2 linked regions of the Notamacropus eugenii genome follow. The protein of the gene in region 2 purifies or fractionates together with the protein of the main gene of each other region. This does not show direct contact. Links are inferred from orthologs where the notes say so. Each region holds a gene or a part of one and is shown on either strand. Other genes may lie near its edges. The genes, in order: EMC4 and POR.

Region 1 (12,554 bases), on a different chromosome or scaffold from region 2:
ACAGGAATCAGAAGCATTTCACCCTACCTTCACAACTGAGAATTTTAGTCATAGGTGATATAGACATCAGTTTTTATAGTATTATTTTAGGGGTACAGATTAGGTCCCTCTATGTGATGTAATATCTGAAATTTCATCATTAAGAGATTCTTCCTATTGGCTGGAGCTTTGGTTAGTCTTTTTATATAAAAGTTCTTCACTAGTAGAAATAACTCCTTAACTTCACTTTACATCTTGTGTAAATCACTTTCTGGAAAAATAGATTTTGATGGAACATAGAATATCAGATATGAAAGAAATGGGGCCTAAGGACTGAGGACAAGAGGTAGAGATTTTATGTAACAAAAACCTTGGAACATTATATTCAAGCCCACTTGTAAAAATAGGTATTTAAACATACAAATATCAACATAAGTTTATCAATAAATCTAAGTCCCCTTATACTAATTTTCTCTATACATTCACTTATGTGTAAATGTATAATTATTAAAATCATGTAGCCAGGGATAAGCTCAGTTACCAACTAGAAGAGGCTACTGCAACAGTTTCATGCATAAGATACAATTTCTGTTGTAAATTTCCTCATTTTTCTCAGCTATAAAATGAGCTGGAAAAGGAAATGGCAAAGTATTCCAGTATCTTTGCTAAGAAAACCCTAAATGGGGTCATGAAGAATTGGATACAACTTAAATTATGAAACAACAACAACATTTCAGTTGAATGATTAAATTGGAAGCCAGACTGAAGAAAGTTGAGAAGAAAGTGAGAGAAAAAGAATTAAAGACTTTCTTTTATAAATATAGATAGAACTTTTAATTGTGGATGGACTTCTCAAGGAGTTTAACTGCAAACAGCAGAAGTATAGCATGATAACTAGCAGGGATGGATGGATCCAGGGATAGCTGGGTTTTTTTTAAGGATAAGAAGATGTAGACACATTTGTAGGTAGCAAGGGAAGTAGCCAGCAGAAAAGGAAAGACTGAGAATGAGTGAGAGGATGGGGGAAATGGAGAGAGCAATCTATTGGAAAGTGTGAGATGGAATGGGACCACTTGTGCAGGTAGGAGGAGTTTACCCTAGCAAGAAAAAGAACTGCCTTCTTCATGTGAAATAGGAATAAAGGAAAAGATAGTTACAGAAGACATCTGTGTGAGGTATGACAAAAAGAAGGGGAGAAGAGGGAAGTATTGGAAGGATTTCTTCAGTGAAATATGAGACAAGATTCTCAGCTGAGAGGGTGGGAAATAGAGGTTTGAGGAGGGATGAAAAGATGTGGAAAAGCTGCCGTGGTGAATGGGATAGTGAATTTATTAGGAAGGTGTTATAGCATTATGGTGCTAGAGTGAGGGCAAAGTGAAGATTATGTAACTTAAATATGCTGGACCCAGTCAGCATGGTTTCATTATTTTTCTCCAGTTTTGTTTAGCAGCATATGAATAGGAGTGAAAGAAGATGGTGGGAGCATTCTAGGATGGAATTAATAATAGGATAACAGTGTCAAGATAAGGAAGAGAGGAGAGGATAGCCCATGCCAGGGTGATAGCCTGCGAAGGAAATGAGGGATGGAGTGGAAGGATCACCTGGAGTGAAAGGTCACAAGGAGGATGAAAAACAGAGTTAGGGGTTATAAGGCAAAGGGAAAGGGGTAATGATAAAAGATTATGGTCAGATAAAGGAATTTCAGAGTTCATGAACATTGAATAACAACACTTGGGGAAGATGGCAAGGGTCTGACCATATCTGTGTATAGCTGAGGTGGGGTGGAAGAGTCAGTCATGGGAAATGAGTTAAGTTGAGGAATTGGAAAGTTAGGATGTTTAAGAGAGTTATCAATATGTCAAAGTCCCCTAGTATGAGAGGAAGAGGGAAGAGGGAAGAAAAAACTCATGGGGTAGGGCCAGAGAAGTCTATGAAGGAACTGGGTCTTAAAGAAAGGAAAAGTTATGGAGGAGAGAAGATTTTTAGCCAGGCATTTAACTCCTTGAGGAGGGAAGGAGAGTGCCTTGGAAGTTGGTAGATAACAACCACTTGATTGGGTGATGAATAGGGATTGAATAGACCTCAAAGAGGAGAGGTTACTAAGTGATGGTGGTAGAGTAAGAGAGTTTGGAAGTACCTACATAGAACAAAGAATATTCTAACTTCACCACTATGACTAGTGATATAGTGGGATGGGATATGAGTGAAACTGCAACCAAAGCTGGAAAGGGTGACTAGGGATGATATGTCATCAGGAGAGAGCCAAGTCTCAGTGGGTTCTAGAAGATATAAAGAGCGAAAAAAGAAATAATTTAATATGAAAGCAAATTTGTTATCTATGGAGTAGGCATTCCAGGAGGCAAAGTGGAAGAAAGCATGGGCAGATCTTGAGTGGTACATTGGAAGGTTTGGGTTGAGGAAGATGAGATGAATGGAATGGGCAGTGGGAGACAAGGATAGGGATTTGTACAAGGACAGTCAGGGCTTCAGAATCACTGGCATGGGGTGGGAGTATACTAATTTTTGAGAAATAAATTCAGGCAGGTTATCATAGTAATTTATTCACTTCAATATCAAGGAGCCAAAGGTTATTCCTACTGAGGAAAAGTAAGGTCATTGGAAAATTTGATCTTGATCTCAGAGATTCTTTCCTGTATCAGATAGGCCTTGGGCTTCCCTAACAAAACATTTGAAAATTCAGATATTAATCCTAGAGGTAATTTCACAAAAAAGTGACATTATTCCCTTCAAGGAAGAAACAGCCTCAATGGCTGAAGCCAATTTAGAAGAGAAGTCTAACAGAACATAGCAGCAGCAATTTTGCAGAGAAACAACAGGGGTAGAGAGGACTGGTGGCTGAAGAACCAAAGGCACAACCAAAGAAAGAGTTCTGTTCATGCTCCAGCTGTGTTTCAGGTAAGATGCAACCCTAGGAGCATAATTTGTCTGGGGAATGTTTCCTATCACATCATCACTAAGGAAATTTGTTAGAAATTTGCATATGTTTGCATATGAGGAAGTCCCCCCCCCCCTTTTTTTAACTACTTACTTCCATTTAAAAGCTTTGCTACTTGATTCAGGGTTTCTGGACTGCTGGTGGAGAGTGCAGGAAATAGGCACTTGAGCACTATTAGTGTAACTAAGATTACCTGGAAACACACCATCCTGGCCTTGGATAGCATTATAAAAGATATTATCAAATTGATGTATGATCAAGAATGAAGGTAGATACATCATGTGGGGATAGAAAAATAGAGAGCCTGTATGATTCATGGTATCCCATACTATTAGAAGATCCAAAGAAAGACCCCCAGAAATATTTGACTCCATACATGTTATATTATTAGAATAGAAAAAAATGCTTCAGTCCTTTAATTTCAAGGTTTTTACTAAACAAAGAAAAATAATAAATCATACAGACTTTTTCCTCAGTTAAATATTTTCACCTTTGCTGAGGACAAATAGGAATAGTTATAAATTGGTGGATATAGGCTTATAATTAGTTACCAGGAAGAAATGTCTACTGAGGATTGACCCTGAGTTCATTATCAATGGAGGTTATGGAATTAAAAAAAAATTTTAAAAAAAGATTAAAAAAACAAAATGGACAAATACTTGTCAAATATTTTAGGCATCATTTCACTTAAAGTTTGATACTGGGGGAATAAGCTCATCATAGAGTAGGTATGACTCTTTACTATCTGTGTGTGTTCGTCCTTTGTTGCCGAAGAAGACAATACCATCAGAGAAATAATGAGATGACTTGCCCTTGACTTTGTTTTGAGTGAGGGAGGGCTGTGCAGGTCAGCAGCCTCACTTCTCCTCCAGAGCCATCTGAATATATATATGTATGTATTATGTACATATATGTATATAATATATAATAATATAATGTATTATATACATACATACACACACGTAATAGTAGCCATCTCTGGGAGGGGGAGGGAAGGAAAAAGGAGGAAAAAAGAGAGTTACATGATAATTTTATTATATATTTAACAGGAATAGCAAGTTGTACATAATAGATTTGTGGTTTTATGTACAATCTTTTTTTGTCTATGCTACTATGTGATGAAAATACTTGTTTAGTTTTTCAAGTTCTGAATAAAATAAATACATTTTTTAATAGGAAAAGATCTCTCAAACTTAAAAAATTATCACCTCCAGCAGGAAATTCTCTTTGGTCCCCTTAGCCAGGTTCACTGCTCTTTCCATCTTTGCCTTGGTACAGCTTTTACTCCCTCATGCAACACATCAAGGCTGTGTTGTTCAAATTCATAAATGTGTTGGTTCCACTTTCATTGATAGAGAAGCAATGTGGTTCAGTGGATTTGGAATATAGGAATCTGGGTTCAAATTCAAGATATTCCAACTACCATTCATGTTACTCTTGGCAAATCATTTCCTCTCAAGCCTTATTTTCCTCATCTTTAAAATGAGAAGGACCTCTGATGACCCTTTCAAGTCTAAATCTATGTTTCTATGAACCAGATGTTACTAGAACACTGCCAGCATTTTTTCACCCAACCTTTAAACACCTTAGACTTCAGAGGTAGTATCCTGCTGAGCACTCTAGCATATTTGATATCAAAGATGCCAAGCACACCTCAGAATACGGAAGGCTAAGCTTAGAGCTGGCTATGCTTAGTGGAGTGGTACTTCAGAGTTAGCAGACAAAAAAATTGCTGATTTCCACTGCATATTATATATCTTGCAGTAATTATATCTAGCCTATTCATAATTCATATTCATATTGGGGCAGTTAGGTGGTATAGGGAATGGAGTGCTGGGCCTGGAGTCAGGAAGACATCACCTTGACTTCAATTTCTGGCCTCAAACACTTATTAGCTTTTCTAGTCACTTACCCCTATTTGCCTCAGTTTCCTCTTCTGTAAAATGAGCTGGAGAAGGTAAAGGCAAATCATTCCAGTATCTTTATCAAGAAAACCCCAAATTGGGTCACAAGGAATTGAATATAACTGAAAAATGAGACATCAACAGTATTCATAAATCTTATGGTGTGAATGGATCCTCCAGAGATTCCCAAACTTATTTGGCCTACAGCTCTTTTTAAAAAAAATCATTAAATCCCCCTCCCTGGAAACCTACTTTCTTTAACTCTAATTTTTTTAAATTTGCATCATTTCAAAAAATATAAGGTTTTTTAAAATGACACATCTTAAATTTCATAATTTATTGTAAATTTGTGGCATTTTTCCTGCAAGTCATTACACGAACACATTCTTGCCAAAGCATGCTGCACTTCTCGACAACCTGCAACATGGTAATCTGCCAACACTTGCTTGTTAAGACCTATTGATGGACTTAACCACTCTTTGGTTATAACTTGCATTTTGTGTGTTTATTTGGAAAATAATATAATCACTATGATTTTAACTGTTACACAACAGATGAAACATGTACAAGTGGTTTTTCAAAATTTTCTTCTCTTCTTTCCTTACGCTTCCACTACCCTGTCATTTTTACTGAACACCTTCCAATTGCATGGGAGGTTATTATTTGCCCCACATTGTTCCATCATCTCCCCCCACCTCACTGCAGTACTGTCCACTCTGGGAACTTACACTCTAGAGAAAGTTGGCAATTATTCTCAGGAGATACTGTTGCCTCAGAAGGGGAGGAGAAATTTGAATACTGGCTGGCATTTGTTACTGAAATGCTGCAAGAATAACAAGTAGTTGCCACAAAAAAACTATATGCATGGAATAGAAAATCAGAGGGCCTGCATTGTGTATATTGCCCATGTTAAATATGGAAAAGCCACCTGTTAACAACGTATGAATGCTTGAGGGTCTAAGAGTCTGAAAATCTTCATATCAAATCTATAATTACAACCCAAGAGCAGGAAAAAAATAGGAAAGCTCAGTGATTAAGGAAGTAATCCTCAGGAACCCTGCCAAAGGACCCCACCAAGAGGAGTTTTTGTTATAAGTATGAGCAGGATGAACACTTATGGGTTTAGGACACTTAAGATGAGAATAAATCTTAAGGATTCAACAATTTTAGAAACTTATTGGTACCTTTTGTCTTTCATTTCTGAATACTTCTCTTCCTACTGAGTAAGGCATCCCTTGTAACAAAGAATATAAAAGTGGTTCAGCAAAACTGGCCAGCACAACCAATCTACTCTGACAGTATGGCAATGCACCTTCAGTCCAATACACCTAGTGTGCCCTGCCTGTCTGTAAGAAATAAGGAAATGGATTTCTCAATTCTTGCTCTCATACTAAACACACTGACGTTCCTTCAAGCACCCAAACTTCCCAATTCCTCAATCTATTTATTTTACTTGCTATGACCTGCTCCTACACTTCCCCTCAAACAGTTGTACTCTTGAACGTTCATGAACTCTGAAATTTCTCTAATCTGGTCATTATTCTTTATTATCTTATCTTTTCCTCTTTCTTAGGACCTCTGGCCCTATTCTTTGTCCTGGTTGACCTCTAATTTTTCCACCTTTTTCAGTTCCTTCCCAGGCCATTTTCCCCACACTAACTATTCACTGTACACTTCTCCCTTCCCTACTTCAATCCCTTTGAGAATCAGTTGCACCCTGTATTATACAGTCTTCTACACTCCATTTTCTTGCCTCCTGGCTTCCTATTACTTATCCTGCCTCATCAAATTCAGTATTCCTGGATAGCTTACTCCTTTTCTCCTGATTCACCTTTTCATCAAACTGCTGACTGGCTGCCCTTCGAATGTGACTGGTGTCCTAACACGGGTGGTGGCTGCGGGGGTTAGGGGGCAGGGGGCCCCCCAGGTCTCTCCCTTGCTCCAGACCCTCAGACTCTTGTACCTTCTACCCCGGGGCCTCTGGATGGGACGCGGCTTGCAGAGCTCCCCCCACATCTGTATTTAAGGGGGGCCCCGGGCCATCCATCCTTTTGTTCCCCACCCGCCAGCACTACTTTAGATTTTTTCACAGCGCCCCTACGTGGGGTGCCCCCTCCCTCCCCTCCCTTTCGCTTCTTGAGGGTGGGGACCTTCTTTATCCTCAGCTCTCAGCTCGGTGCCTGACTGACCCCCTGATGAGGTACCCCTGAAAGGCCACTTGGACGGAACCAGTTGGTCCACTAGTATTTATTTCCTAGAGGCGCAGTCCTCCACCGTCCACCCCTGAGCCCGCAGGCGACAAGGGCACAAAGCTGGGCGAAAGGAGGCATGACTGAGGTGGGACTGACGGAGAGCTACAGATGGGGAGCAGACGGGGAGGGGATGAAGGACGAGAGGGGCGCACGGGGAGGGAGGGGCGGATCGGGACCCTCGAGCTGGGAAGGCTCCTTTAATAAGCTCCAGGCCCCGCCCCCTTTCCCTCCCACGCACGCTCCCTCCGGGCTCTCCCTTAGCCGGAGCAGCACCGGAAGTGGCGTCATCCGGCTGACCCGGAAGTGCTATTTGGGAGGCGAGACCGCGGCTTCGCGGGGTCGCGCTCTCGGGGGTCGCGCTCTCGGGGGTCCCCGGGAAGGCACGCGATCCGGGCCTGCCTCCTTCTCCGCGGCGTCACGAGGCAGCCGCTGCCATGACGACCCAGGCAAGTTTGGTGGCGAACCGAGGCCGGCGTTTCAAATGGGCCATTGAGCTGAGCGGCCCCGGAGGAGGCGGCAGGTGAGGCGGGCACGGGAGCCGCGACGGGCACGGGAGCCGCGACGGGCACGGGAGCCGCGACGAGGGCGGGACGGGGAAGGCCGGGGCGGCTCCCCCCACCCTCCACGGGCCCCCTGGCTGGGGAGGAGCCAGGCCTCGGGGGCGTGGCGTCCTGGGCCCGAAGGGGCTGAGTGGGCACGGCGCTGACGTCAGTCGGGGGCCCGCCGCGTGCCAGGCACGAGGTCGTTCTGGGCGGGACTCAGCCGGCGGGGAGCCGGATCATGGGTCCGGGGAGGGCGGGGCGGACGTGAGACGCTGGGGTAGAATCCCCAGGACTCACCCCTTGCGTCGTCCCACGTCTCGCGTCCTGATGCCGGACCTGACCGCGTGACTCCCCGACCTCTCCAGCCTTGGCGGGCATCGCCCCTCCCGCGCCGGGCAGCCGGGCAGCCCACGCAGTCTCTGCTCACACGACGCACCATCTCCCGCCCTGGCGCTCTTGCACCGCACGCCCTGCCCTCCCGGGATGCCCTCTCTCCTTCCCTCCTTGGAGACGCAGCTTCCGGACTTGCCCTGTCCTGGCTTCCCCTCTGCCCTTGTGCTTGGCCCTCCGTGACGCCGGTCTTGAGGTCACGCGTGTTTGTACGTGCCCTTGTTAGCATGGCAGCTCCTGGCCTGTCGCTTCCTTCTGGCACGGAGAAGGCACCGAACACCTGAAGACAGGTGTCAGGGGCTTCAGATGGCATGTAGCCTAAACGCCTTCCTTTTAGAGGTGGTTCAGGATGAAGAGCGTGGGTGATGCCAGCCCAGAAAGAAGTTAGAGGAAAGGGCAGGGTTTTGGGGGGAGAGGGGCATTTGGGGAGATCCCTAGCCTCTGCTTCTTGGTCTGGTTCTTTAGGGGCCGAAGTGACCGGGGAGGTGGCCAAGGAGATTCCATGTACCCAGTGGGCTACCTGGACAAGCAGGTGCCAGATACCAGCGTGCAGGAAACAGACCGGATCCTAGTAGAAAAGGTACAGAGATTTAAGGAGGTGACCAGTGCCTCTGAAATCTTTGAGCTCTGCCTTTCTTCAAGGATGAGAAAAGGATCTCTTTAAAGACAAAGGACTTATAAAATAAAACCTTGGGCCATTTAGAGGGAATGGAATGGGGCAGGGATGAGGAGGACAGAATCCTTCTTTTTTCTCCACCATTAGAAGCTGGAGAAAATTGTCCCTGAATAACCCCTTGGAAGATAGCCTGAAAATGTTAATAAGCAGGCTTCTCACTCCTGTTTTCTAATCTTTGGATGAGAGCTCCTCAGATGGCAGCAGAAAACAAATTTGAAAAGTCATATTGCTGACAAACCTTGATGAAGGTAACTAGAAGTAATTGGTATTGGGGGTGTTAGTAGCCATTGAAGTGAGGTTAGCTAGGTGATGCCATGGATGGAGCACCAGTGCAGGAGTCAGGAGGACCTGAGTTCAAATCTCACCTCAGACACTTGACCCTCACTAGCTGTGTGACCTTGGGCAAGTCACTTAACCCCAACTGCCTCATCCTGGGTCATCTCCAGTCATCCTGATGAATATCTGGTCACTGGATTCAGATGACTCTGGAGGAGAAGTGAGGCTGGTGACCTGCACAGCCCTCCCTCACTCCAAACAAAGTCAAGTCATCATTTCTCTGATGGCATGGCCTTCTTCGGCAACAAAGGACAAACACAGCGATTGAAGCAAAATAATCATATGTTTCTTCTAGCGTTGCTGGGACATTGCCCTGGGTCCCCTCAAACAGATCCCCATGAACCTTTTCATCATGTACATGGCAGGCAACACCATCTCCATCTTCCCCACCATGATGGTGTGTATGATGGCCTGGCGGCCCATTCAAGCACTTATGGCCATTTCAGCCAGTAAGTATTGATGTTAACAAGGTATGCATTGTCCTTTCAAGCACACAGTCTGTCTTCCCCAGAACTTGGGAGGCACGTGTTTTCCCCAGAGTCTTTGAGGTCTAAAAGCCAATTCATTAGGGGATATCCCCATTGAAGTGACTTGTTAGAAAAGCCCTTTGCTACTGAGAAGTGAGGCTAAATTGCTTATATTTGAGTTTCTCTTTTTTTCTATGATCATCAGTTCCTCAGCCAGAAGCTCAGTCTCTTAGTATGTCCTTGTATGTATTATGTTGCGTTGGATTCATCTTGATACCTCTCATTGCCATTGCAGCTTTCAAGATGCTGGAGAGTTCAAGCCAGAAGTTCCTCCAGGGCTTGGTCTATCTCATTGGGAACCTCATGGGGTTGGCTTTAGCTGTTTATAAGTGCCAGTCCATGGGACTGCTGCCTACACATGCATCAGACTGGTTGGCTTTCATTGAGCCCCCTGAGGTAAGGCAAAAAGTAGGAATTTAAACTTGCCTAAGTTGAGATGTAAGCAACAGCTGACTGTGTCATCTACCTTATTTGTCAGAAAGTGGAGTTGGAGTTAGAAAAACAGACTTAGGAGACAAGCACATAGGGAGCTTCAGAAAATGTTTGAGTAGGTGGAAAGTAGGAGAGCTTGGAGTGGAAGATTAAACGGAGTTGGTGAGAAGCTGCACTATAACATTTATCATTTTTTTCTTTCTTTTTTCTTTTCAGAGAATGGAATTCAGTGGTGGTGGGCTACTCTTATAATCAGGGGAAACCGCGAATTGGCACCCTCTCACCCTTGGATCCCATTTGGTTTTCGTCATTTGTCCCTTCTCAATAACACTTCAGTCTGTTCTGCTTCACAAAGATCTCCTGTGCTGAAAAGAAGAATCCAAAAACTTCTTTTCTCAAAGGTGAAAACAGAACAAAGCTTATAGGGTTAGAGTACAAGAGTACCAACAAAGAAAAACTACAGAGATGCTCCTGGCTGAAAATAATGTAAAAAACTTTATTTATGTTTCTAATACAGAGCAAAAACAACAATCAGAACCATAATTCTATGTAAACAAGAGTGGCTGCTTCAGCCTCTCCTCTCAATAAATTAAACTGCTCAGAACAGCTCTTGGAAAAGAAAACAAAGTTGCATGAGTTCCCTTAATCCATTTCCCCTAAATCAAAGGTTCTACCTCTAAATGATATTAAAGGGGAAAAATACTGCTGGAGACAATTATGGTAGACTTGAGAAACTAACGCAAGCTTCAGATTATACATGATGAAAAGGAAAAAAGAAAAGAAAAAATAATTGTTAATACCGGACTGAACGTGGGCATTTTCTACGTGCCATGGTATTTTATTTAACTTGGGAACAGAGGAAGGTGACTGTGCTTAATCCATCACAGGGTAGGGAATGGGTTCCTTAGGGAGAGGCAGTCCCCAGCTGCCTCAGGAAGCTGTGAGGCATATATGAATATGAAGTAGTGATCTTTCCCCTGCTAAAAGACTGGCCTCAGTATGATTTTTAATCCAGCTAGTAAAGGCATAGACCAATAGCATGAGGATATTTGACACTACACTCCCTGGGAATATTATGGCTAAATCTCCAAATTTGATCTTGTCCCAAAGATAGAAGGTTCTTCCCCTCTCTTACCTCTGTGAAAACTGACAGCCCCCTTCCCTAAGGTGCATTCTCTTGTTGAGTTTTCAGTATTGCTCTACTTTGCAATGATTCAGAGACACAAGAGACAAAAATACATATACAGTGGTCCACACAAAAACGGGAGTGAGAGTCTGGTTAGTGGACAATACTCTGTCATGTAACAGTGATTAAAAAAAAAAAGATGGAGGCAGAGGGGCTACACACATAACCTCCAGTTCCCTCATCCCTTTAAAAATATTCTGACTATAAACTTCAGGGAGAATTTCCTTAAAACCTTTCATTTTTCTGTCTAGATTACATTAATCTCCCTAACCTAACCTCACCTCTCTAACATCATCACCCTTTTGGAGCAGGGGGTGCTGGCTCAGAGAAACTAAAAACCCACCAGGAAATGAAATGATTTTTGGAGTATCAGGTTGCAAAATCTAGGCTCTTGGACAGAGCCAAGGAGGGAATTTTCTTCTGGTATTGAACTCCAGTCCCCACCATAAAAAGGAAATTGGTAGAGGGAAACAAGGAATAAAAGGTGCAACATGAGCTATAAACATTCACTACACTCTTCCTGACACCTTGGAGGAAGAACTGAAGCTAAGACTGGTTAAATACTTTGTTCTGTCCAAGGAAGACAGGAATTAGAGTTGACTTGGTTTTTGCTCTTCTGTGTCGTGGGTGGCTTCTAATGATTTTCTTCAGTTATACTGAATGGTCGCCTTCTCTGTCCATGGAGCTAGCTGAATCATCAAAATGTTGCACATTCTGAATATAAAAGGGCTCATTTCAAATGCTACTGAGTAAAGAGAGATGATAACTATCTTCGGTTTAGTCAAGTAACAGCTGAGTCCATGAAGTGGCCATGGGCCTAGGCAAGGTGGAGTGGTCCCTGTACATGAAATATCTGTAATAGATTTTAGGCCAACTTCAGGGGTCTGAAATTATTGCCACAGCCATATAAGGCAAAGATTTCCTATGCCTGGAAGCAATACCTTGGTGCTTGGCAAAAAAAAAAAAAAAAAAAAAGGTTTAACTTGTAAGATTACCCCCTCGGTCCAGTCCTTCATAGCATTCTAAGAATGCAAAGGAAATTGGCAATTCCAAGGCTTCTGATTAATCTCTGAGTCCAGAACCAGGTCTTTACAATCAAAGTAAAGGAGGAAACTGAGGGAAAGGGTAATGTCCCCCGCTCCCACCCTAAAACAAAACCAAACAAAAACCTCATGTCTTAAATTGTCTGTGCATTGCTATCAACTTCCCCGCTTCATCTCAACTCCAAAAACCAAGCCACACAATGAGAAAAACTGGAACTTTCTAAGCAAAGTCAATGCCAATTCATATTCTGAGTCATTTGAGGAGGAATGAAAGGAATTTAGCAACTCAGTGACTTTGGCACTGTGAAATAAGGTATGGCACCAGAACTTT
Region 2 (12,493 bases):
CAGGGGGGTCTCTCTCTTAGTCATTGCTGACAAAATTCTTGCTAGAGTCCTCCTTAATAGGCTAACCTTTCACCTGGAAGATGGTCATATACCCAAGAGCCAGTGTGTCTTCAGAAAGGGCCAAGGAACAGTTGATATGATGCTTGCTGCCCGACAACTCCAGGAGAAATGCCAGGAGCAGAGCAGATCTCAATATACTGTGTACATGTATATATATCTATATATAGATATAGATGTATGTATGTATGTATATGTATATATAGTGTCTATATGTATGCATATATTCAGTGTATCTACATATACAATGCCCATATGCATGTATACAACATACTTAGTGTATATACATATAGATACAGTGTCTATGTGTATGTAGACACAGTGTGTATGTGTATACACAGACTCAGTGTATATACATATAGATACAGTGACTCTGTGTATATGCATACAGATACAGTGTTTTATATACATGCATATAGATAGATAGATAGACAGATAGATAGATACAGTGTTTATGGGTGTATGTATACCACCCAAAGGTACAGTGTCTATATGAATGAAGATATAGATAGTATCTATATGTACACATATACTCAGTGTATATACATATAGATACAGTGTCTATATGAATATAAATATATATTCACTCATATGTACATATACACTGAGCTGTGTACATTATACTTCATATATATATGTATATATGCATATAACATGGTGTTTATGTACCTTATATATTTATATATTCAAATTTACCTCAAATATAAGATATTTAAGGAAGGAGAGAGTTGTAAAAATTGGGGCAGGGGGAGGCAAGCTATGGCTGTCCTTGAGGAAAGTGTTGCGTGGTAGAGTAGAAAGATCCCTGACTCCAGAGTCAGAGATCCTGAGTTCGAGTTTTACCTCTGATGCTTGGGGACATCGTTTAACATCTCTGGGCCTCAGTTTTCCCATCTGTAACAATGAGTGAATTGGAGAAAGTGATCTACCTCTTTGGTTCTATGACATCATTCTGACAAACTCCTCTAAGGCTTATCCCCCAATTTATTGATCTCAGACAGTCTGTTTTTCACCAATTCACACTCCCATATCAGAAGGAATCTTAATTTCAGTAAGCTAGGACATTTCTTTATTTTAAATTGTCCTTTTTAATTTTGAGTTTAATCATCATCATCGTCACACACAAACATTTCAGGGTTCAAATCCTGCTCTGTGATTTGCTACCTGTGTTGCCTGGGACCAATTTTCATCTCTGAGCTTCCGTGTCTTTGTATGTGAAAGGAGAGGGTTGGGCTTGTCAAGATATGAGGAGACCCCTGTTTTCCAGAGCTCTGGCCCAGCAGGCAGGCTGTGCCCTAAACCTGGCATAACAACCCTCTGGATGATCTTTGCCACAGCAAAATCCCAGAATTGTTTCATATTATTGTATTGCTTTGATCAACACCAGGAGCTCAGACAAACACCTGCTCTATCCATGTTCTGGTCACGAAGCTCTGCTCTGAATCCAACTCGTTGTTACCCCTCCTATTGTCAGGGCTACAGCTCACTGCACAGTCGTTGGTATAAGCCTCAGGTGTCCCCACCAGGAGTGGGCCACCAGCACATGTGGCTTTGCTTGCAAGTAATTTCCCTCACTTTGAAATTAAACTTCTGTTTGATTCCTGAATCTCCTGTCTCTAGCCTGTTGTGTTTGGCTCTGACCATCCACAGGTTAGAGGCTGGTTCTGAGACTTCTTCCTGCTTTAAATCTGTTCCCTGGCTTGAGTTTGAAGTCTAACTGCAACTTTATTCTTCTTAATTGTACATTTGTTTTTTATATCACCCTGGGCAAGTCACCTCACCTCCCCAATCCTCAGTTTTCTCCTCTGTAAAATAAGGGGAAGTGTGACTAAATGATTATAAGACCACTTCCAATCTATGATCTTCTGGCTTCATTTTGGAATTTCATATCCTCCAAATGTAGCCCAGTGTCTGGCATGGAGCAGGGGTTTAACAAATGCCTGTTCATTCATGAATCCTGGAGCTACTGCTGACTAAAAGAGAAGGTTGCTTTTGGAGGAGTTCAGAAGGCTAGAGGCCTTGAGAACATGTAATTGTTAAGAGATAAAGGGAAGCTGGGTTCCGGAGGGAGGCGGGTTGAAGGATGAAGCGTGGATGGACTCAAAGGGCAATCAAAGGGGATCTACTGGAGGACAGAGCCAGAGGAGTTCAGAGAAAGAGCAGCAAGGGAGGCAGCTTCACAGAGAGAGGGAGAGCCAAGGGAAATCTTCAAGGACAGGTGCATGATGGTGGAATGTGGAATGCTCCAGCCTGCCTCTGGAATGCTGATACCCATGTGGAATGTCTGCGTTAGCAGCCAAACTGAGTAGGTGAGGCCCTGGTCTGACAAGTTACCTCCCACATCGTTCATCCCTGTGCTGGGTCAGGACAATACACAGATACTCCAAGGTGATAGTTTTGATTGGATGCAGATTGAAGCCCATCCATTCTGGCCCATTCCCTCCCCTAAGCTTGGCACAGGGGTTCCACCCAAAAGTCTGGAGGCCTGTCCTCATTCCTGCCAATATTCCAATATTGAGAGCACCAGTCAAGTCCTCTGGCTGCCCATCTGCCATTCCTTGCTTTCTATCTTTTCTGCTGAGGGCCACGTCTAGTTGTCCTGATCTATATCGCACCACTGGACCCAGATGATTCCAGAGGAGAAAGTGAGGCTGGTGACCTTCCACAGTCCTCCCTCACTAAAATTCAATGAATTTGGAAGTCATGGCACCATCTTGATGTTAAGATCTTCAAGAATGAAGAACAAACAATAACAACATATTGTCTGCCGGTCCTGGATTTCCTTTCTAACATCCTTCTCCCTGTTCTTCCTGGGGGCAGAAATGCTTGTGTTCCACATCTTGGTTACAGTAGCTGTCAAATCTCAGCAGTAAAAAGGTAGGTTTCTCAAAGAATGTAAATGGAGGTAGGAGGCCATGGATGTGGAACAGTATATGTAATATTAGACTCACTATATTGGCTAGTGTTGCTGAACATTTTTTCCTTACTGTTTTTATTTATTATTACAAAGGCTGGTAATCTGGGGAGGGTTCTAGAGGAAAATATAGGTGCAATAAAAAACAAAATAATAAAAAACAGTTTTAAAAAAATAAGTCTTTTCTTCTGGGAGGAGAAGTTTTTTTAACGGAATTTTGTAATTTCCTGGAGGCAATCCAGTCTGCTTTCCTCTCATTTAATTTTTATATAAAAATGACAGATATAAATCACACGTATGCCATCAATATATATCAGTATATACTGCATATATAATATGTATATACATAGTACATGTATAGCTATACATACATAACATACTTATATAACGTGTGTATGTGTACCACATGCATGACATCAATCTATGCTATTAATATGTTAGTATAAGTTAAGGTGTATATTTTCCATTTACACACACATAAACACACTGTGAATATGTATATAAAACCCAATATGATATATAATGTGTTATGTATAACATGCTATACATGTATGTATGTATGCTTTATGTGATGTTAGCACACATGTGATATCAATATGTATCAGTATATGTTGAGATATATGCTGCACATACATGTATGTATAGTGTGTATTTATGCATCTACATACACACATATGTAACATGTTTTATTGTTGCTCAGTCATTTTTCAGTCATGTCTGAAACTTTATGAACCCACTTTTGGGTTCTCTTGGCAAAGATATTGGAGTGCTTGCCATTTCCTTCTCCAGCCCACTTTACAGATGAGAAAATTGAGGCAAGTGACTGGCCCAAGGTCACATAGCTAGGAAGTGTCTGGGGCCAAACTTGGACTCAGGAAGACAAATGTTTCTGATTTCAGGCCCAGCACTCTATCTGCTGCACTATCTACATATATCTGGATGTTATATACATGTTTACACATAAAACAGTATGTGCATGGATATAGATATAGATATGTATACACTATATAGGTATATGTAAGTATATGCTATATATGCCATCAATATATATATTAGTATATGTCAAGATATATATCGTATATACATATACAGTGTATATATATGCCTTCTGTATATGCACAATGTGTGTATATGTACATATAACACAATATTATGTATATATACACATAAACATACATGCATATACACATATACATATTTTTATTTACACAAACACATAGAGATATACACACATACGTGTGCATGTCCACTGTTGGGCCAGCTCTACAGGGTGGCTATCTAAATATATGCTGTCATCTCATAGAAATACAAGGACAAAATAACATATGAGTACTACCTTAAAGAAGTTTACATTGATTCAAGTCAACAAACATTAATAATAGTTAATATGGGTATAGCACTTACTATGTGGCAGGCCCTGTGCTAAGCACTTAATAATTATTATGTCCTTTTCATCCTCACAACAACCCTGGAGATAAATGCAGTTATGATCCTCATTTTACAAATGGAGAAACTGAGTCACGCTATGGGTAAGTGACTTGTCACAGAAGTGTCAGAGGTAGAGTCTGAACCCAGGCCCTCTGACTCTCAATCCAATGGTTTTCCCATTGTACCAGACTTCCTTTTTTCTATTCTATAAAGCAGAAACCCTGGAGTATCTGCTGAATACTATTCTGCAAATGCTAGAGATACCAGGAGGTCATCTAGTCTAACCTTCCCATTTTTTTGGAAGAGGGAACAGGGGCTCAGAGAGGAAGGGACCAACTGGAGGCAGAAAACCTGCTCTGGCAAATACTCCCACTCTCTGTCCTCGTTTCTGTTCTTTTGCCCTGCCCTGTTCTTCCTTTTCCTCCCCCCACCACCCAATTCACACCTCTAGTTTCATTCTGATTGGACATGAATTCATCAGAAACCATTTCTTTGGGCCCTTGTTGGAAGTTCTTCTCATCCTGGTTTAACTCTGTACTAGACATTTTTCAGTCATGGGCTTGATGCTAGGGCCAGACTGTTCTGTGTCTCAGGACAGCTCTGGAGCCCCAGTTTAGGACTTCCTCATCTCCAAAACCAGACAGGCCAGTGCAATCATTCCTTCAATCTTCTCTGTGTCTGTGACCTCATTGATGTGGGTCTTCTCTCCAACTAGGGAGGCCACAACCATCACAACCATTTCATCCTCAAAAACTCTTGTCTGTATTCTCCCATAAACCATTCCTAGGGATCCACTCAACATGTTGAGGGTCAGCCAGCGCTCTTAACACTGTTTGGGTCCCCACAGAGCATGATGGTGACCCATTAGTCATCACACATTACCCACTTGGTCAACTTCCTCTTATGGTTTTACAAATATTTGCTGGCAATATTCCATGGTCTATTCCCCATAGTGTCTATTGCCCTTTGGGTGACTTTATTTCTTCATGGATTATAGCGTCAGTGGAAAAATATTGATGTCAGAAAGATAGGTCTTTGTTTCTGAGAGAATTTGGAGTTATTAAAAATGCTGCACAATTTTCCCAAAGTAAGCCAAGCCCACCTCTTTCCTCCTGTTCAATTCTGAGTCCAACAGAGTAGTCTATTTTCAGCATCTGTCCAAAATAAACTAACTGAAGGACCAACTCTTTGGGTCATCCAGCGAAGGACATATCATGGCCTGGATGATAGACTTTCTTCACTCACTTGGCTTTTCCTGTGTTGATTGTCAAGCTGAACTCTTTTGTGTGATTATGGACCTCAACTGGAGCTAGTAAATATTAGGATGGAAACTCCCTGAGGACAGATATTGTTTATTTCTTGATCTTTCCGTCCCCAGTTTAAACGGGCACGCTGACCAGCACATGGTACACTTACTCAGTGTTTGTATTCCACTGAATTACGAGACTCTTACAAAGAGCTGACATTGACATGGGTCTGATCTGGGTTTCCATTTCCTCCTCTGGCATTGGCATTGGTGAGCTGCTTAAAGATCCAGTGCTCTCTATACGTAGCAGAGAAGGGGCTGACCTGCCTTAGTTGAGGAGGGAAGTTCCCAGTTTGAGGAATCCAGAGGCCAGTCCCTACTTGGAAAATTTGTTGACAGCTTTGACGTTTATACCACACTTTAATGCTTACAATTCATTTTACGTGCAATCTCATCTAATCCTCATCCCTGTCCCATGAGTTCAGTGCCGCTGTTATTACTCCCACTTTACAGTGAAGGTTACACACATAGCAAAGGTTGGAGATGGGATTAGAATCCAGGTTTTTGTAATTCTGAGGTCAACACTTTCTTTGCTACAAGGAGGCAGCATCCCCTCTCTTCCCTCGGGACTTAGATGCTATCACCACAACCAGATGCCAGAAGGGATTTGGAGGAATACTTAAGAATAAAATTGTCTCCCTTCCTGACCCTCAGGGAAGATAAAAGTTGGACTCTTCCCTGACAGCAGTAAGGGCCCCTGGGGCAAGGTAAGGTGGGTCATCAAGTGAAAGCTCCCATCCACAGTTCCCTGCTGTTAACCCCAGTTGGTCACAACTATCCTAACCTAGTTATATTGCCTAATTATTTGGTCCTACTGGAATGGGGGGTTTTGATGGGAGAAAAGGAAGAAGAAAATTGTAGAGAATGGTCCAACTTGGAGAGAGAAGACCAACTGTGAGAGCACATGACATAAAGGGAGGCAGGGGGAGAAGGGAGTCAGGAGGGGGTGAGGTATCCCAAACTCACCTAATTTGACAGTGTTATTAGGTCCTGGTTTCCTTGACTTAGGTCATGGAAAGGAATATATTGCTGGCAATGGGGGTACCGGAGAGGCACCCTGATGCAGTGGAAAGAACTCTGGATTGGGACTTAGAGGTCCTGGGTTCTAATGCTGCCTCTGACATTTCCTACTAATATAACCTCGGGCTAATCACTGTGGATAAGTCACTTGCTCCCAGTTAGAGCTACCTTTCTCAGTAGTGGACTCTCCTTCCCTGGCAGGTTTTAAGCAGATCCTGGATGACTCCTCAGATTTTGTGGAGGAAATTCCTGCTCAGCTACAGTTTGGACTAGATTTTGACAGCCTTTATGAGCCTCCGTTTTCTGATTTGTAAAATGAGACAGCCTCTAAAGTCTCTCTCTGGGCCTCAATTTCCTGTCCCGTAAAAAACTGGGAGTGGACTAGCCTCTCAGGGCCTTTCCAGCTCCAGGTTCCATGAGGTGAAGAGGACTGAATTGATTCATCCATGGTCACCCACGGAGTAAGAGGCAACAAGGATTCTCCCAAGTACCTATTGCTTTCCCCACTGTGTCCAGGGACTGGAGGCCATGCCTTGGTCCTTAGAGGACTTTTGCAGGTCCCCTTCTGCCACCCCTGAGGTGTTCAGCCCAGAGTTCTCTGGGAGAGAACCTCCTAGCTGCCTTCCCCCTTGATTCAGGGGAAAACTTCCCAATTCTTGCCATCCCAATTCCAACGGTTTTCCGTGGGGTCAGAGGGAAGGGAGGAGGAGAAAGCGGAAAGCTGATTGGCCATCCCTGGGTTGTCTATGTCCCTGAAATTCAGGGGTTGTTGTGGTGCTTGTGCGTCAATTCAGGAACACAAAGGACCAAGCCGGTGGCTCCAGGGAAACAGCTGGCTCCTGGGAGAGGAAGGGGGAGGGGAAGGGGCTGGCCTGGAGAGTGTAATCTCTGCTAGTCCCTCCCCTTCTCCTCCCATAAAAAGGCAGTGGGCCGGTCAGAGATTGGAAAAGACAGGAAAACTCAACCGAGCTACTCCTGTCAGCTGCTCCACTCTCTTTGGTCCCACCCTGCCACCTAAGAAGGGTCATGGTCTTTGTCTAGCAGGTCCATCTGAGTGCTGCCTCCTGAGAAGACTGCTTCAGCTTTTTGGACACCCCTAGGTCAAGTACAGCTCCCTTTGAGCCCCAGAAAAAGTCCTCCTGAACCACTACATCAAGAAGGCCCAAGGTGAGTAAGTCGCTCAGTCAGTCCCCTCTTCACACACTTTGCTCTACCCTGCTGAAGGGGTTTGTGTCCCTTCCCATTGTGTCCAATGCTGCTGGTGGGTAGGGGGGATGGGGAGGGGGATGGGGAGGAGCCAGGGGCTAGAAACTTCTGGTTCCTGCGACCGCAAACCCTTCTTAGCATCATTATGGTGGTATTTGTTATTTTTTAATGCATAATTGAAGGAAACGCTAGATGTCAGTTAAAGGACAGTACAAAATAAAAATGTAATTGAGGTTTTTTTCCCCACCCACATTCATGGACTCCTTGAAATTTATCCATTGGGTCAACCCTCCTCATTTGACAGATGAGGAAACAGATGCCCAGGGAAGGACAGTGATTTGCCTAAGATCACACATCAAGTTAGTAGCCAAGCTAAGATTTAAACTTGACTCCTCCAACCAGTATTGGAGCCACTTAGAACCCTTAGGCCACTTAGTGCCTGGCATGTAGTGAATGCTTAATAAAAATTTGTTGATTGGATCAAAGGTACTTCCTTTCCCAGCTCTCATTACACACACACACACACACACACACACACACACACACACACACACACACACATACACACACACACACACACACACACACACACACACACACACACGCGTACTCTCCAAGGCAAGGATCCAAGTGATCCAAGTAATGATAGCGCATCAGATCATGGAGAAGACTGCTTAAGAACTGGTAATACTTCTTTGCTCTCCCGGGTGCCTGAAGACTGCTTCTCCATGCATGAAAAATGGGAAAAAGGTATGTAGCTACAGGCGCCACTATCTTCCTACTGCCCCATTTCCAGACAGTTGTTTCTGGGTCTAAGCCTCTGGATTCCTGAGCCTCTGTTAATTCTGGATTCTAGAGATCCATCTTCTGGTCCTCTGCCAAACTCTTTCTGGCACTGACTTCTTCACCCTAGGAGTCTGGGGTTATCTGAAATCACTTTCTTTGACAATCTGGAGAAATGCAAAATTTCCATGAGAAGTTGGTGAAAATAAAGATTTCTTCTCCTGAGAAAAAGAAAAAGTACCCTTCTTCAAGGCAAGAGATCTTGTGGTAGTGTGAAACTACCACAACTACTGGCTTAGGTTTCAGAGGACCTGTGCTCAATCCTGCCCCAGATATTTACCAGCTAGGCAACATGTGACAAGTTATCTAACCTCCCTAGGTCTTAGTTTTTTCATTTGTAAAATGAGAGGCTAGGATTAGACAGTCTGAGGTCTCTTCTTGCTCTAAATCTATAATCCACACATTTTTGTTAAGATCTGGGCCCAGTACTGACTTCCCCCTTCATTCCAACCCCAATTCAGTCGTTGGCCACAGCCATGGCAAACACACCCTCAGAGCAGCCCTGGCTGTTTGCCTGAAACCTCAACAACTATTCAAGTCTTACCTGCAAAAGGGGAGATACAGAGATTATGATGCCCTCATGGAGCTACAATCTTGGACCTATGGATGATCATGAAACATTGGTTCCCAGGCCATAGAAGTGAAAACCAGGAGCTATTTCAGGCTTTTCCAAGTACTAGGCATGAGATCCTTACTATGTCTTTGCATTACGAATTTCCCCATTGTAAAGCCTATTTGGGTAGAAGTCAATGGCCACAGGCAAAGAAAGGGAAAGGGCCTGGGAGGAAGGGAAGGAAAGAGGTGAGAGTGTTTTATGTAAGATGACACAGTGATAGAGCTAGCAATAGGACCTTGAGAAGCTGAATAGGAGGTAGAAAGTTCAAGAGAGAGAGCAGCCCCTTCAGATATCCAAGGTCTTAGAACCTGGAGCTCAGATGCTATTTAGTTTGACTTGTACCCGAGCAAGAATGGAGTCTCAGGCCTGATCAGCAACTGCCACTGGTGATGCTAGCTAAAATGAAAGGCTAGGAAGGAGGTCAAAGGCCCATATTGAGGAAGCAGTTGCCCCAAGGTCAATAGTTAGTAAGTGGCAGAACCCAGAGTCAGAAGCTTCCACTGCTCCATCCCAGACTTTTCCCACTATCCCAGCCTGAAGAGGAAGCTGGAATATTCCCCTGGATGATGACTGTCAATTTTGAGGTCTTCCTCTTGCTAGCCAAGCAATCTGAGATTCCAAAGTAAAGGGTGAAGGACAGGGAAGTGCTGCCTTGCCTGTAAAGGAGCAAGGAATAGGACTTTACAGAGCAAGGGGGAGGAAAATGGCTGTTTGTTTGGTTTTTTTTTAACGAAACTATAGATAGGCCAGGGAAAGATAAAGACAGTGGCAGAATGGCCTTGAGGTAGAAAGAGGCTTTTGTTCTGGGAGAGTGCCAGGGTTATTGGCTCCATCTTGGTTGACTAGGTGACATTTGTCTTTTCCTGGAGCTCTAGGAAAGGGACAAGAGTCAACCCAATTATAGATCTATATCTGGAAAGGATCTCTTGACCCACTCCCTTTTTTTCAGGTGAGGAAACTGAGAAAATTGGTGAGATTCTCTAGTGAAGGCTTGTCTCAGCCCCAGTGCCATTCCTGACTTGTGGTGGTCCAGTCAAGGTCACCCAGTTAATCAGTCATTTTGTATTAAATGTCTACTATGTGCCAGGAACTATACTGGTGTTGGGACGTACTAAGATAGAAGTTACATGGTTCCTGCCCTCAAGGAGCTTTTGTTCCAACATTTACATTTCCTCCATTAAATATAAATTTACTACCTTTCCCCACAACTTCCCTATGCCTTAGTTTCCCCATCTGTAAACCAGGGAGAAGAGTCTCTGCCTCTTCCCCTGCCACACAGGGATGGTATAAAGACAGGGGGAAAATAGAATGGCGGAGCCAGAAGAGAATTTAGAGCTTATATAGTCCAACAGTCACATTTGACAGAGTAGGAAACTGAGACACAGTGAGAGTATTTTATATAAGACCTCACAGTGATAGACCTCACACCAGGACCCTGAGATCAGCACTGTTTCTAGGACATTATGAGGGGAAAAGAGCTCGGGAAATGAAGATATTAAGAAGCAGTTATTTGTAGAGGTCTAAGAGCTGGTCTCAGTGTCAGGAAGACCCTAGGTTCAATAATGACATGTTGTCCAGATGACCCTGAGCAAATCATTTCATGTCTCCGCATCTGGCAAGAGCCAGGGCTGGTCTGCCTCAGTTGAGGGGGATTTCTCATGATGAATTTGTTCCACCAAAAAAATCATAAATCTGGTCCAAAAATATAAAGTACCAACAGATCAATTGATTAAAGGGATCAGTAGGAGGAGGAGGCAAAGGACAAGGTCTGCTTTGGTCTTTTCCAGCCCAAATAATTCCTTATCTTTTATTCAGACCTGTTGACATGTAGATAGTATTCTGGCTTATGGAACCCAACTCTATGTGCCCAGAAAAAAATAGAAACAAACAACCATTCAAAGGAAGAGATATTAGCTCCTAGGGGATGCTCAGGAGTGAGCTTAAAGCGTTTCTTGGTCTTCCCCTGTCCCCTGGGGCCTTTCAGTGTGAGCATCCTAGCACACAAAGGAGAATCCTCCATCTCTTCCACATCACATCCCCCAACCAGTCTCTTTCTGGCATCCCTGGTCACAGAGAGAGGCCCTGTTGTGGCTCATGACCCACTTGGGTCTTCTCTTGTCCCCATGACAAGTGAGGAAGAAGGAACAGTTATGAGATCACCCTGTTCCCATTCACATGCTATCACACGTGGGAAATCTTTTTCAAGATTATTTTTGATTATCTGTTGTCCAGTCTTCCTGCCAACTGAATTTTTTACCAGTTTTTGTTCCCTTTAATCTGAGAAACTCTCCATTGCCAACACTGCCTAGATCGATAGTTCAACCGGGTACTGTTTTTAAAACAACAAAAACCCATTGGCACTCATTTGGATTCTTCAGAACTCTCCTCACCTCAGTCACTGCCCTCCTTTTTAAAGAGACCCACACTCTTTTTCAGTTGTAGCTCTTAAAAGATGCCATGTTTTACTTTCTGGGCAATGAAGGGATTTTGAAGGAGTCTGATTATAATCCTGCATACTGACTTTAAAATGTACCCCATCCGAATCCCCACCCCACAAGTCATTTGCCACTGCACTTACCCCTTTAAAGAATTCACGGGAATAATTTAAGTATTCACTTAAAGAACTGAAGTAATTCACAGAAATCTATGCCTCTTCCCTCTTCCTTCCCATCATTCTCCCACTCTCCCTGGCTTAACAAATCACTTAACATGGTACTTAAAGTTAGACAAAAGATAATTCTTACTATAGCCCTGGGTAACAAACAAAATGCTTTAAGGTTTATGGAACACTGTCTATGTTTCAATTTAATTTAAATTTTCAATGAAAATTTTCTTTTTCACTTTCCCACTCCCCCTGGGGAAAAAAAAAAAAGAAAAACCAAACCAAACCCTGGTAACCCAAATTCCCACACTGGCCACATTTACAAAATGTGTTTCTTCTTCTGAATCTTTAGTCCATCACCCTTCAGGCTGGAGGCATTGCTGGTCAGGGGACTTCCAAAACCATGATCAGTCATTGCACTGATCAGAGGTCCAAAGTCTTTCATAGTTTGTCTTTACAATGTTGCAATTTGTTGTTAAAAATAATTTAACTGGGTGTGCC

The links.
Region 1: the proteins of POR (region 2) and EMC4 purify together in Homo sapiens (affinity purification with mass spectrometry; 3 studies listed by BioGRID and IntAct, with this or other methods). This does not show direct contact. The link is inferred for Notamacropus eugenii from reciprocal best matches to the Homo sapiens genes POR and EMC4.

Annotation. Positions count from the first base shown.
Region 1 is NC_092878.1:17,316,190-17,328,743, reverse strand, and holds EMC4 (ER membrane protein complex subunit 4), read left to right. Parts: upstream 1-7,318; 5' UTR 7,319-7,525; coding exon 7,526-7,611; intron 7,612-8,488; coding exon 8,489-8,603; intron 8,604-9,330; coding exon 9,331-9,484; intron 9,485-9,797; coding exon 9,798-9,958; intron 9,959-10,210; coding exon 10,211-10,246; 3' UTR 10,247-10,621; downstream 10,622-12,554. UniProt on the Homo sapiens protein: Part of the endoplasmic reticulum membrane protein complex (EMC) that enables the energy-independent insertion into endoplasmic reticulum membranes of newly synthesized membrane proteins.
Region 2 is NC_092873.1:50,940,115-50,952,607, forward strand, and holds the start of POR (NADPH--cytochrome P450 reductase), read left to right. Parts: upstream 1-7,665; 5' UTR 7,666-7,892; intron 7,893-12,493. UniProt on the Homo sapiens protein: This enzyme is required for electron transfer from NADP to cytochrome P450 in microsomes. It can also provide electron transfer to heme oxygenase and cytochrome B5.